2 linked regions of the Saccharomyces cerevisiae S288C genome follow. The main gene of each other region encodes a partner of the protein of the gene in region 2 in a complex. Each region holds a gene or a part of one and is shown on either strand. Other genes may lie near its edges. A codon is read from its position in the direction of its gene.

Evidence for each region.
Region 1: the proteins of FIS1 (region 2) and CAF4 are in contact, whole or in part, in a crystal structure (PDB 2PQR), measured with the Saccharomyces cerevisiae proteins. Residues at the interface, in NP_012199.3 of Saccharomyces cerevisiae: Phe6 (codon at 4,806), Trp7 (codon at 4,809), Pro8 (codon at 4,812), Asp12 (codon at 4,824), Leu17 (codon at 4,839), Gln21 (codon at 4,851), Ile24 (codon at 4,860), Leu25 (codon at 4,863), Ile39 (codon at 4,905), Gln40 (codon at 4,908), Phe43 (codon at 4,917), Asn44 (codon at 4,920), Trp47 (codon at 4,929), Gly48 (codon at 4,932), Lys51 (codon at 4,941), Arg59 (codon at 4,965), Val62 (codon at 4,974), Lys63 (codon at 4,977), Thr66 (codon at 4,986), Ile68 (codon at 4,992), Tyr69 (codon at 4,995), Lys70 (codon at 4,998), Glu73 (codon at 5,007), Ser74 (codon at 5,010), Arg75 (codon at 5,013), Arg76 (codon at 5,016), Arg77 (codon at 5,019), Glu78 (codon at 5,022), Leu80 (codon at 5,028), Tyr82 (codon at 5,034); in NP_012962.3 of Saccharomyces cerevisiae: Ser81 (codon at 1,376), Ala82 (codon at 1,373), Phe85 (codon at 1,364), Arg86 (codon at 1,361), Leu88 (codon at 1,355), Ala89 (codon at 1,352), His90 (codon at 1,349), Leu91 (codon at 1,346), Glu93 (codon at 1,340), Tyr96 (codon at 1,331), Pro97 (codon at 1,328), Leu98 (codon at 1,325), Pro99 (codon at 1,322), Glu104 (codon at 1,307), Leu107 (codon at 1,298), Pro108 (codon at 1,295), Ser109 (codon at 1,292), Leu110 (codon at 1,289), Phe111 (codon at 1,286), Glu112 (codon at 1,283), Gly113 (codon at 1,280), Phe114 (codon at 1,277), Lys115 (codon at 1,274), Thr117 (codon at 1,268), Val118 (codon at 1,265), Ile121 (codon at 1,256), Gln122 (codon at 1,253), Arg124 (codon at 1,247).

What each region holds. Positions count from the first base shown.
Region 1 is NC_001143.9:509,018-512,617, forward strand, and holds the start of CAF4 (Caf4p), read right to left. Parts: upstream 1,617-3,600; coding exon 1-1,616. Other genes in the region: SPC34 (Spc34p), read right to left, coding at 1,893-2,780; KAE1 (tRNA N6-adenosine threonylcarbamoyltransferase), read right to left, coding at 2,982-3,600. UniProt on the Saccharomyces cerevisiae protein: Involved in mitochondrial fission. Has a partially redundant function to MDV1 in acting as an adapter protein, binding to FIS1 on the mitochondrial outer membrane and recruiting the dynamin-like GTPase DNM1 to form mitochondrial fission complexes.
Region 2 is NC_001141.2:236,388-246,565, reverse strand, and holds FIS1 (Fis1p), read left to right. Parts: upstream 1-4,790; coding exon 4,791-5,258; downstream 5,259-10,178. Other genes in the region: YIL059C (uncharacterized protein), read left to right, coding at 1-16; YIL060W (uncharacterized protein), read right to left, coding at 1-174; U1 snRNP complex subunit SNP1, read left to right, coding at 1,007-1,909; ARC15 (Arc15p), read left to right, coding at 2,104-2,568; YRB2 (Yrb2p), read left to right, coding at 2,822-3,805; EFM4 (Efm4p), read right to left, coding at 3,850-4,539; ribonucleotide-diphosphate reductase subunit RNR3, read left to right, coding at 5,858-8,467; YIL067C (uncharacterized protein), read left to right, coding at 8,806-10,178. UniProt on the Saccharomyces cerevisiae protein: Has a role in mitochondrial fission. Has a role in outer membrane fission but not matrix separation. Required for targeting MDV1 to the mitochondria.

The sequences.
Region 1 (3,600 bases), on a different chromosome or scaffold from region 2:
GAATCAAACTTCAAACTTGTAATTCCATCGGTATGGCCTTCTAGTAATCTCACCGGTTTGCCAACTCTTAGATCCCATAGTCGCACAATGCCATCTTTTGTTCCTGTTGCTAATGCAGAGTTGTAACATTGGAGGGCTCCTATCATTGGTGCTTCTGTGCCAAGTAAACATGCACCATTGTTTAATGAACGTGCAGGCATTTTAATGTCGCTATGTGTAGGTGTGAAGATAAGGTCAAGTTGCTGAATACATTTGCCCGTCGTTAAATCCCAGTGGAATATTTTTTTGTCCCTAGATCCGCTAACCAAAGCTTCAGAATCAAAAGACAGGGCTGTGATTTCGTCTTTATGTAACTCAAAATTATGGATACATGGTGTAACAATTTCTTCTGTCTTCTCCTTCAATGGACTATGGTCCAAATATATTTCTCTACTCAGATTTAAGTCCCATAACTTCAGAGTGGCATCCTTACTTCCAGTAATCAACATATTGTAATTTTTCTTATCTATTTGCATGCAATTAACAGTAGCAAGGTGACCAGGCAGCTCTCCAACTTGTATCCCATGGTTCAAATCCCACACTTTTACTATACGATCTTGGTAGCTTGATGAGCACAAGGTTCCCCATGGTGTATCAAAGTCTAATGCGGTTATGCTGTTTCCATGTTCGCCATGGGGTATTGTCATTCTGAAAGCCGTGGTATTTCGGCTATATGTTTCTGAGATAATTTGCCTGTTTTTATCGTGGCTTTTTTCATGGGGCATCTTGTAAAAATCTTTTAATCTCGTATCCTTACTTTCAACATCACATAACGACGATATGGCTTCTTCATTTTGCGTGAAGGACGACGCTTCAGATGATCTTTCTTCTTCCATTTGCTTCCGTAAGCTCTGTTCACGATCAGCTTCCAAATTGTATTCCTCGATAAAATTTATTCTATCCTTTATCAGTGTTACATCATTCTCAAGATTGGTAGACTTACTATCAATGTGCTTAACCCTTTCCAGGATTTTTAATTTCCTGGATTCTAGTTCGTTGATCATGGAATCTAATCTGGTCAACTCATCCATCTCTAACGTTTTATTGATTGACAGATTTTCCACGTTAGTTTCTACATCCTCAAGTAAATGTGTTAGGTCAATTCTAGAGTACGTTTTATTCACAAAACCAGTATTAATATCCGGCAATTGAACGTATTTTTCCTTATCACTATTCGTGGCCCCGTCTACATTGTCTAACAACAGTCTCTGTTGAATGATGGAAACGGTAGCTTTGAATCCTTCAAATAAAGAAGGTAAATTCTTTTCAGCGGCACCGTTGGGTAGCGGGTATCGCTGCTCATCTAAATGAGCAAGTATTCTGAAAGTTGTTGCAGAGTCTGCATAATTGTTTTGAAAGGAAAATATCCCTACTTGTCCTTTCTGGGTATCTTTTGTACTTTCGGGCCAAGCCACCTCTCTGAACAGTAGAAGTTTGGAAAGATATCTGTAGATGGGGCTCGTTATATATTTTTGAAATTGTTGTTGCGCTAGTATGGCATGTGGTAGCTTATTAAGTATAATTTCGATTGGTTTAGCTACCAGAGAGCTTTCTCCTCTAGTATCGCCCGAACCCATATAGAGATACTCTTTTTTACTCTCGCTCGTGGTAATCTTATATGTCATTCATGGTTAGTTTTTTTTTTATGACTATTTTTTTTTTCCATTACGATGAGGAAAGTTTATGTGAGAAACATGAAGCTACATGCTTTAACAGGAGACAGACCCATGGTGGATCCGCTCAGTTGGTTTTATACATTTAGATGTAAGGTAATACATAATTATATGATTTGCAGTGGCCTATGTATGCAATTAGGACAAAGGAAATATCTATTCTTGAGGAGAAGTGCTCCCCTACTCTTGCAAGTTGGCTATCTCCATTTCTAGCCGCCTAATTTCATCTTTTTCTTTTCGAATAATCTTAGCAACGTCGTGAGAAGAAGAAGGATGGTACTGTGACATAGTCTTTAAGCGATCATCTTGAAGCAAAACTTCTTTCTTGATGAAGCGCAATTTGGAAGAAAGTTGTTCATAATTATGGTACAATTGGTCGTAATCCTGCTTGAACTCTGTTAGTGGCCATAAATCTGTTACTTCGGCCATAACTTTAAGAATTAAATCAGTAGGGAAATCCTCGACAAAGATGGTTTTTCTTCTTTGGTTATTGGATTCTTCTTCCATGAGCACGCTTCCATTTTCCAAGGCATATAGGAGCCTTTGAATTTGCGGATCATCCTTGAACACGGCTGATAATGCTTTGAATGTACCTGAACTTGAATTTGAAATGACAGAGGATCCTATAAGATCGGTATCAAAAATAAAACCGTTCAAGCCACCGCCACTTGTAGTGGCGGTTCTTCTCCTTTTATTGTTCAAATCAAGACGATCTTTGTTCAAATATACTTCCTTGGGCACATGGATGATCGGTTTTTCCCCTGGTCTGCCCAGCCTTCTATTTCTTTTCATGTCCGTATCTCGTTTAATAACATAGTCGAATACTCCCTCCTTGCCGTCTCTACGTGAAACGGATTGTTTCTCAGGGTTGACTTTGAACAGAAGATACGCCTCGTCGTGGTTACAGTCCTTTATTAGTCTAGTAATGTCTTTTCTAATGCTTGCCTTGTTGCTTGCTCCCTGTAGGATGGCATTATGAAAAATTCCTGGTGGCTTGAAATAGAGTGTGGACATAGAGTCCACCGCCCTATTAATATCATCTATACATCTATCCAAGCTTTCCCCCATTCTGTAATTGCCACGTCTTATTTTGTTAGGTGATGATCTAATTTTTTTGAGCTTTGTTTATTGATTATTTTCAAATGTCTCTTGCTTATTTTCGCGCTTCCACAAGGTTATACACTGAGCTGTAAATGTAAGGTGTATGGCATATATAAATATATATATATATTCGTAGTGTGAACATTAGGCTAACTGTAACAAAAATCGTTAATCACGCCAGGCTGCGTATACTTCATCGGTTCTGAATTTCTGCGTAACAACAGTTTCAGAAAAGTCCTTCACGATCCCACCCATTCTATACTCTAGTAGTCCTGCTTGGGCAATCATAACTCCGTTATCGATACAAAACCTATTATCTGTAGCATGTACTTGCCCATTGGCCCTGTCTTTACACATTTGCGCCATCATTTCTTGTAATCGCACGTTACAACCAACACCGCCTACGATCAAAACTTGATTGGAGTTAACGTGAGCCATAGCTCTTTCTGTTATTTCAACTAGCATGGCGAATAGGTTCTCTTGCAGAGAGTAGCAAAGATCCTCTACAGTGACTTTTTGCTCGCCCGTTGTCTTGTCGAATAGGATCTTATTTTTCTTATTGCCCTTAAATAGATCCTTGGCAAGTAAATCGATGGAAGCCAATATACCACTCATCGAAAGATCCATCCCCTTTACTGTATAGGGAAGTTCTACCAAGTTTTCTTTGTGAGGGGCTTTTTTAGCTAACTGCTCGATGTTGTAGCCAGGCGAGGGCTCATTAGGTATCTTCAGAGTTCTTGCAAATCTATCAAGACAATTACCGATAGCAATATCAAGCGTTTCACCA
Region 2 (10,178 bases):
GCAGGTATGTATGTGAAGAGTTGGTGAATTTTGAGATAATTGTTGGGATTCCATTTTTAATAAGGCAATAATATTAGGTATGTAGAATGTACTAGAAGTTCTCCTCGAGGATTTAGGAATCCATAAAAGGGAATCTGCAATTCTACACAATTCTATAAATATTATTATCATCATTTTATATGTTAATATTCATTGATCCTATTACATTATCAATCCTTGCGTTTCAGCTTCCACTAATTTAGATGACTATTTCTCATCATTTGCGTCATCTTCTAACACCGTATATGATAATATACTAGTAACGTAAATACTAGTTAGTAGATGATAGTTGATTTTTATTCCAACAGTATGGGAGGTATATGAACCCCTACAACCACTCATTTAGAAGTGGGGGACTGTAGTTCTTTTATGAAGTAACGAAATTTTATGAAGTAACAACAAATGTTGTTAATTGTAATCTTAATAATCTAACATTTAATAAATCTTGACCTTAGACTTTTTTGTCTATTCATAATATGCTGATATTACTTTTCTTAAATATAAATATAATCTATATAATATTATTAACGAAATGTAGGAAGCTAAAAAAAAAAAAAAAAAAAAGAAAGAGACTTTTATGCGTATATTTAGGTACCCCGGTACTTACTTCTGTATATATAAATCAGTGAATCAATACATATTTTTTTTTAATGTTTTGTCCTTATAACGCGACTTATTCAAAAGAAAAAAAGAAGTCCCATGCAAAAATCTTGTCATTATTGCGAATGGATATATCAGTGAGACCTTTTTAAGGTTGTAGGGAAAAGGAAGTACGCTTCATTACAATTTCGTTCATGTCTTGCTCGCCTACTTGTTTTGCTCATAAATCCCATCAGCACCATTGTATGCGCCCTTCGTAGGAAATTAACGCATCTGAAGAAAAAAAGAACTGCAAGATAATGACACACAGCACGGTCATCGACTGTCGAAAGGAAACCTTAAAAAAGTAATCGGCACCTCAACCTTGATGAATTATAATCTATCCAAGTATCCAGACGACGTGTCGAGACTTTTCAAGCCAAGGCCACCTTTATCTTACAAAAGACCAACCGATTACCCATATGCGAAGAGACAAACAAATCCAAATATCACTGGCGTTGCAAACTTACTATCAACCTCTTTGAAGCACTATATGGAGGAGTTTCCTGAAGGATCTCCAAACAACCATCTCCAAAGATACGAAGACATCAAACTTTCCAAGATCAAAAATGCTCAATTGTTAGACCGGAGACTACAAAATTGGAATCCTAACGTTGACCCTCATATCAAGGACACAGATCCCTACAGAACGATATTTATTGGGAGGCTACCATACGATCTTGACGAAATTGAACTGCAAAAGTATTTTGTTAAGTTTGGCGAGATCGAAAAAATTAGGATAGTCAAGGACAAGATAACCCAGAAGAGTAAAGGCTACGCCTTCATAGTTTTCAAAGACCCAATAAGTAGTAAAATGGCATTCAAGGAGATTGGAGTACACAGAGGTATCCAAATCAAAGACAGAATCTGCATAGTCGACATAGAAAGAGGCAGAACCGTTAAATATTTCAAGCCAAGAAGATTGGGCGGCGGCCTAGGAGGCAGAGGCTATTCCAACAGAGACAGCAGGCTTCCAGGAAGGTTTGCAAGCGCAAGTACATCAAATCCCGCCGAAAGAAATTATGCTCCCAGGCTGCCACGCAGGGAAACTTCTTCCTCCGCATATAGCGCTGATAGATACGGCAGTTCCACATTGGACGCGAGGTACCGTGGAAACAGGCCATTGCTCTCCGCCGCCACTCCTACTGCTGCTGTTACTTCTGTATATAAATCTAGAAACTCACGGACTCGAGAGTCTCAACCAGCTCCCAAAGAAGCGCCCGACTATTGAATATAAGTAATACTTAAACTCTGCTACTTGTTGTCTATGATTACCCGCACATCAGTTAATTTGGATACTTTTTTCCCTTTCTCAGACTTTGCCCCTATAACAAAATAAGAGAAAAACAGCCCGCATTTAACACAAGATACTATAGCAAAGGAGACCAGAGAAGACTCAACACAACACACGCGAACGATCAAGCAATGGAAGCCGATTGGAGGAGAATTGACATCGATGCATTTGATCCAGAGAGTGGCAGACTAACCGCTGCCGATCTGGTACCACCATACGAAACTACTGTCACATTACAAGAATTACAACCTCGAATGAATCAATTGCGCTCGCTTGCCACAAGTGGTGACTCTTTGGGAGCCGTTCAATTACTCACAACCGATCCTCCATACAGTGCAGATGCTCCAACAAAGGAGCAATATTTTAAGAGCGTCCTTGAAGCATTGACACAAGTCAGGCAAGCCGATATTGGTAATGTAATCAAAAATTTGAGTGATTCTCAGAGGGACGTGCTGGTAAAGTATCTCTACAAAGGAATGTCCGTACCTCAGGGCCAGAAACAAGGGGGTGTCTTGCTTGCGTGGCTGGAAAGAATTACTCAAGTCAGTGGTGTCACACCTATCGTTCATTATATATCGGATAGAAGAACTGTATGATACTCTGCCCAGTAAAACTTAGTATAAAGAAATATACATATATATACGTAATTTTAAGGGTCGCGTTTGTTATATGCTTTTACTTCAGGCATTTCGCGGTGATGTAGGTATTGAGTTTTTTTTTAAAAAAATTGACATTGTTTGGCGAGGTTGAAGATATAAATGCCTGGATTTTAAAAAGCTCAGTTGCTACTCAAACCAAAATGTCAACAAATCAATTTGCACAAAACAAGTACGCATAAACTTTGAGAGCATGAGTGAGACCAATGGTGGCAATGCAGCCAGGGAAAATTCTGAGGTGAAACAAACTGCAGTTGAAAATCCTATCGATAAACTAGATGGAACTCCTAAGAGACCGAGGGAAAAAGATCAGGATGAACAAGCGGAAGAAACGAGTGACAAATCAGAAGCACCCAATAAAAATGATGAGGAGAAAAAGGAGGAAGGTAAAAAAGACCAAGAACCATCGCATAAGAAGATCAAGGTTGACGACGGAAAGACCGTAGAATCTGGTATTGTGGAAGATGACAAAAAGGAGGATAAATTCGTGTTTGGTGCCGCATCTAAATTTGGAACTGGGTTTGGTGTTGCCAAAAAGGACACGAAAGATGGAGATGCAACTACCAGTACTGAAAGTTTACCAGCCTCTGACAGCAAAACAAAGAAGCCATTTGCATTTGGTTCAGGTTTATCATTTGGCAGCGGCTTCAACATACTGAAAAACAAAACAGAAAATAACTCTGAAAGTGAAAAGAAAGCTACTGATGTTGACAAAGATAAAGTCCATAGTGGATCTGAACAACTAGCGAATGCCTCAGAAGATACAAAAGACAAACCAAAACCCCTCAAATTGCAGAAACAGGAAGTCAAGTCTGGTGAAGAGTCTGAGGAGTGCATATATCAAGTCAATGCGAAGCTGTACCAACTTTCCAACATAAAAGAAGGCTGGAAGGAAAGAGGTGTTGGTATCATCAAAATCAATAAAAGTAAGGACGACGTCGAGAAGACGCGTATTGTTATGAGGTCTCGTGGTATCTTAAAAGTCATTTTAAACATCCAACTGGTCAAGGGGTTCACTGTGCAAAAAGGATTTACAGGTTCTTTGCAAAGCGAAAAATTCATAAGATTACTAGCAGTAGATGATAACGGTGATCCTGCACAGTACGCCATAAAGACTGGTAAGAAGGAAACCACGGATGAATTGTATAACATTATAGTTAAATCCGTTCCTAAATAAGTAAAGAGAAATAACGTTAAAAATAAATCAAAGATAAAAACAAATCAGTTTTGTTTAACAAATGCTACACTACATATGGTCGCACCCTGGACCCCGCCAAATTGGAAAACAGGGTATTTTATTGTTTTCCACATTTTCAAATTATCAGTCTCTATGATCTTTACTAGTTCATCTTGTGTGAAATTACAAGAAGTGATCAAGAAAATACCGTCTTTTTTCAAAATCCTTTCCACTACTCCGGCGTATACATCGACTACATCAAGTTTACCGTTGATCTTCATGCCACTCAATGAAATGGCATCTAGGGTCCCTTTATCCAACACAATGTCATACTTTCCCGGCTTCCAGTCACCACTAAAGATGTCTGCTTGCTGGAAACTGATGAAATTGTCAACACCGGTGGCCTCGGCTATATTACTAGCGAGTTTGACGCTTTCCTCAGAATAGTCTATCCCGACCAGTTTCCCTTGGAATTCCGTTTGATGCAGTTCAAATAACATGTGTCCATTACCTGTACCGAGGTCTACAACAGAAGCATTCTCAGAAATTCTGTACGCACCAATGTTATCTACCAGAAAATCAATCATCTTTTGTTCAGCATCGCTATCGCTAAACCAACAGTCCCCGGTATCCTGCGGATTCCGCCTGAAATTCTCCAGCTCCAGGGCATACAGTTCATCCCAGTATTTTTTCGTACCAAGTTTCGAAGTGCTCAAATCTGCCGTGCCCTGCATCTGTACTACCTTTTCGGGTTGAGTTCGTTCCATAATACCGTTCTTAAGAGCTGAGCTCATCGATTTTTTTTCACTTCTTTTCATGAACCAATCTTTTTGCGCATTTATGCCGGAACACCGCAAGCGGGCTAGGCTGGACCCCTTTCAAAGCAAAGCTGCCATTGCCACTATTCTGCACAGAAGTTATCATATACCTTGCGTAAAAACGGCACATAGAAGCACAGATCAGAGCACAGCCATACAACATAAGTATGACCAAAGTAGATTTTTGGCCAACTCTTAAGGACGCATACGAACCACTCTATCCGCAGCAGCTGGAGATTCTGCGCCAGCAAGTCGTCTCCGAGGGGGGGCCCACCGCTACCATACAGTCAAGGTTTAACTACGCATGGGGGCTGATCAAATCCACTGACGTGAATGACGAAAGGCTTGGTGTGAAAATCCTCACAGACATTTACAAAGAGGCCGAGTCCCGTAGACGAGAATGCCTATATTATCTGACCATAGGTTGCTACAAACTCGGTGAATACTCTATGGCGAAGAGATATGTAGACACTTTATTTGAGCATGAGCGTAATAACAAGCAGGTGGGCGCTTTGAAGAGTATGGTAGAGGATAAGATCCAGAAGGAAACACTCAAGGGTGTTGTCGTCGCTGGAGGCGTACTAGCCGGCGCTGTGGCCGTGGCTAGTTTCTTCTTAAGAAACAAGAGAAGGTAACAAGCACATAAAAAATCAGCACATACGTACATACATAAGAATGAATCGCACGCACGCGTAAACATTTATCATTTAATCTTCAGTTGTTAGATAAAAAAAAAAAGAAAAGAAAAGAAAGTGAAGGCTTGTTTCAGTTTGAACTAGGTAGCAGAGCAAGCCCTCGTTCTTGGCTGCTAATTTTCCTAAAGTAGTAAAAAAAGCCAAGTTATCTGCCTACGGTTGTCACAGCAACATTGCGTGCCGTTGTTCTTTTGTTTTTTTTTTTTTTTTTTTTTCGTGGTTGTCGCAGCAACGACACCTAGGCGCTGCTCAAAGGGGCAAAAACCCGGTTGCCATGGCGAGGACCAAACGACAAGATGGGAAAAAAACAATAGTCTATTGTTAAATCGTAATACTGTATTGTGAGATGCTGACGCGTTTCGTTTTTCGTGTCAGCGTTCTTTATATTGTTTCGTGTTCTGCTGCAAAACGTATATAAACGCACTGCTATTTTGCCTTCTTTTGCCTTCTTCCTTGCCTTTCTCTCATCTCATATCCAAGTTGAAATAAATATGACAAGCAAGAATAGCAGCAGCAATAAATCAAATACTCCCACACAAATGTACGTTATTAAAAGAGACGGCCGCAAAGAGCCCGTTCAATTCGATAAAATTACCTCCCGTATCACCCGTTTGTCATACGGTTTAGACCCAAACCGTATTGATGCTGTTAAGGTAACCCAACGTATTATTTCTGGTGTGTACTCCGGTGTTACTACCGTTGAGCTGGACAATCTTGCAGCTGAAACATGTGCATACATGACCACTGTGCACCCTGATTATGCCACTCTAGCCGCTAGAATCGCCATCTCTAACTTACATAAGCAAACCACAAAGCAATTCTCCAAAGTTATTGAGGATTTACACGACTGGATTAACCCAGCTACTGGAAAGCATGCTCCTATGATTTCGGACGAAATTTACAACATTGTCATGGAAAACAAAGATACTTTGAACTCGGCCATCGTGTACGATAGGGATTTCCAGTATACGTATTTCGGATTCAAGACACTGGAGCGTTCGTACTTGCTAAGACTGAACGGTGAAGTGGCAGAACGTCCTCAGCATTTGGTAATGCGTGTGGCGCTAGGTATCCATGGTAGCGATATCGAATCTGTGCTGAAGACTTATAATTTGATGTCGTTAAGATACTTCACTCACGCTTCCCCAACTTTATTCAACGCTGGTACGCCACATCCTCAAATGTCTTCATGTTTCTTAATTGCCATGAAGGATGACTCTATCGAAGGTATTTATGATACTTTGAAAGAATGTGCTATGATTTCCAAAACTGCAGGTGGTGTTGGTCTTCATATCAACAACATCCGTTCCACAGGTTCTTATATCGCTGGTACCAACGGTACTTCAAACGGGTTGATTCCTATGATTCGTGTTTTCAATAATACTGCCCGTTATGTGGACCAGGGTGGTAACAAGAGACCTGGTGCTTTCGCCCTTTTCTTGGAGCCATGGCATGCAGATATCTTCGACTTTGTCGATATCAGAAAAACACATGGTAAGGAAGAAATTCGTGCAAGAGATTTGTTCCCTGCTCTATGGATCCCTGATCTTTTCATGAAACGTGTTCAAGAGGATGGGCCTTGGACTTTGTTTTCGCCCAGTGCTGCCCCAGGTTTAGATGATGTGTGGGGTGATGAATTTGAAGAACTATATACTCGTTACGAAAGAGAAGGTCGTGGTAAAACAATTAAAGCCCAAAAGTTGTGGTATGCCATTTTGCAAGCACAGACAGAAACAGGTACACCTTTCATGGTTTATAAGGACGCATGTAACAGGAAGACAAACCAACAGAACTTAGGTACTATCAAATCATCTAATTTATGTTGTGAAATCGTCGAATATTCCTCCCCGGATGAAACTGCAGTTTGTAATTTAGCTTCTATTGCCCTACCAGCATTCGTTGAGGTTTCAGAAGATGGTAAAACTGCAAGCTATAATTTCGAGAGATTACACGAGATTGCTAAAGTCATTACTCACAACTTGAACAGAGTTATCGACCGTAATTACTATCCAGTTCCCGAGGCTAGAAATTCAAATATGAAGCATAGACCTATTGCTCTTGGTGTCCAGGGTTTGGCCGATACTTATATGATGTTGCGTCTACCCTTTGAATCGGAAGAAGCTCAAACTCTAAACAAACAAATCTTCGAAACTATTTACCATGCTACTCTTGAAGCCTCCTGTGAATTGGCCCAAAAAGAAGGTAAATATTCTACTTTTGAAGGTTCTCCAGCTTCTAAGGGTATTTTACAATTCGATATGTGGAACGCTAAACCATTTGGCATGTGGGATTGGGAAACCTTAAGAAAGGACATTGTTAAACATGGGTTAAGAAACTCTTTGACTATGGCACCAATGCCAACCGCCTCAACTTCCCAAATTCTTGGTTATAATGAATGCTTCGAACCAGTGACCTCAAACATGTACTCTCGTCGTGTCCTGTCTGGTGAATTCCAAGTTGTTAATCCATATTTACTACGTGATTTAGTCGACCTGGGTATTTGGGATGATAGTATGAAACAATATCTAATTACACAAAATGGTTCTATTCAAGGCTTACCAAATGTGCCACAAGAATTGAAGGAATTATACAAAACCGTCTGGGAAATCTCTCAAAAGACCATTATCAATATGGCTGCTGATCGTGCCATCTACATCGATCAGTCTCATTCCTTGAATCTTTTCTTGCAAGCACCATCAATGGGTAAGATTACTAGTATGCATTTCTACGGTTGGAAGAAGGGTTTAAAAACTGGTATGTACTACTTAAGAACGCAAGCCGCCTCCGCTGCTATTCAATTTACCATTGATCAAGAGGTTGCCGATCAAGCCGCTACACATATTGCTTCCGTCTCAGAATTGGATCGTCCAGTTTATGTTCCAAAGGGTACAAAATTCTCTGAACAAAAGGCGGCATCTGCGCTTACCGAAAGCTCAGATAATGAGAAGGATGCATCTCCAGTTCCATCCGAACAATCATCGGTGTCGAGTGCCATGTCAAATGTGAAATTGGAAGATAGTGTTGCCCCAGCAGTTCCAACGGAAACAATAAAAGAAGATTCCGACGAGAAGAAATGTGACATTTACAATGAAAAGGTGATTGCTTGTACTGCTCCTACTCCAGAAGCTTGTGAGTCATGTTCCGGTTGATTCTTTCTGGTGGCATTTTTCCCTTTCCTTATCTAACTTGGAGCGGTTTCTTTTCGTTAGTATGTATTAAGACCTTTTTTAAATAAACTTTTTTAAACAAAACATATACACAATCATGTACGCTAATAAAATTATTTCTTTTACATTCTTTCTCATTGTATTCTATGATTATTTTCCAGATTTACCGTCGCAAAAAAATTACTCTGGGGTGTAGAAGAAAACAGCTAAATACCGTAAAGAGTGTAAAATCGCAAAATACATTCAATTATATAAATAACTAAGGCACAATTCAACCAGTATTAGACTTGTGAGAGATAGACCATTTAGCATTGAATTGAATGGGTGTGCATTTTGATGATAATGCTAACACAACGTGGGAAGCCACAGACCCTGGCGTTTCAAGTGATTGCGATGGACAGCACCGTGTGACTGAGTCTATACAACTGCAGAACTTTTCCAATACAGACATGGAAAGTATGCTTGATGAAGAAGGGAGAGAAAACAGTAAGTCAAAATGGTTACTATTAAAAAGGAAACATCCTATACAAAAGTTTATTGAAAGAGTTTGGAATGGCCCTGTTGAGCCAAGTGACGAACCGCCTAGCTTTCCTAAACGTTGGGGATGGCTGAAGAAGATAGATGATTTTCCGCAGACTACATTCAAAACTAAAATACCAAGTAAGTTGATACGACTGTTGCTACTGATTGTGTACTGCTGCTTTTGGATGCGCATTTTTTATTCTCTCATATACCCCTATCTTATCAAGCCGCCATACTTCCATCCAAATGATGGCTCAGAAAAGATTCCTATATTGTCTTTAAGTTGCAATTCCTACTTGAACTGGGAGGGTACCAATAACGAATGTGGTTTAAATGCTAAAAACTGCGGTCCACTTGATAATAAAGAATACATGATCAGATGTCCAGCACTGTGTGATAGAGGTGGATGGACATACTCCGCCATTGCCGTAGGGAATAGGAGAGTCAAATATACAGGGTATGAAATTGGCGGAGGTGCCCTGTTTAGCGAAGAAGACCCGATGGTCGTGTCCTACCCTTATAGAAGTGACTCGTTTCCATGCGCCTCTGCAGTACATGCAGGTGTTATCTCACCATTTTACGGTGGCTGTACCAAAGTTTCTATGCAAGGGGCCCAAAATTCTTTTCCATCAAAAAAAGGAATGTATAACACTGGGTTTTCAGTAGCATTCAATTCATTTTTTCCCGGTTCATATTCATTCAGAGATATACAAGGCGGTATCCTGTCGGGCTGTTATGATCCTCGAGCAGCTGTGGTCGCATTGAATATGCTTTTTGGACTGCCAATATTTTATTTGTATGACAGTATTTACGGGTACTGGATAAACACGATAGTGGGCTATTGGACTCTTGTATTATCTCTAGACCCTCCATTACTAACGGATGCACATGACCCAGCTAGCGTGTATGAGCTTTTCAGTGTGGGATTTCAAAGACTTTTACCTTTATGCTTTGTTTTATACGTCGTTTGGAAGAGTGCGGTGAAAAGAACACTAGAAAATGGATCGCCCATAGCAAAAGTAATACTTTGGTACCCCACATTTTGGTTGGGAATCTCAAATAATGTCACATTTGACCGATTACCTGTTGATAGACTTACGACGACGGATTTGAAAGAGCAGGCTGGAGCACTGACTGCTGTGGGATCTATTGCAGCCACTATTCTTACATG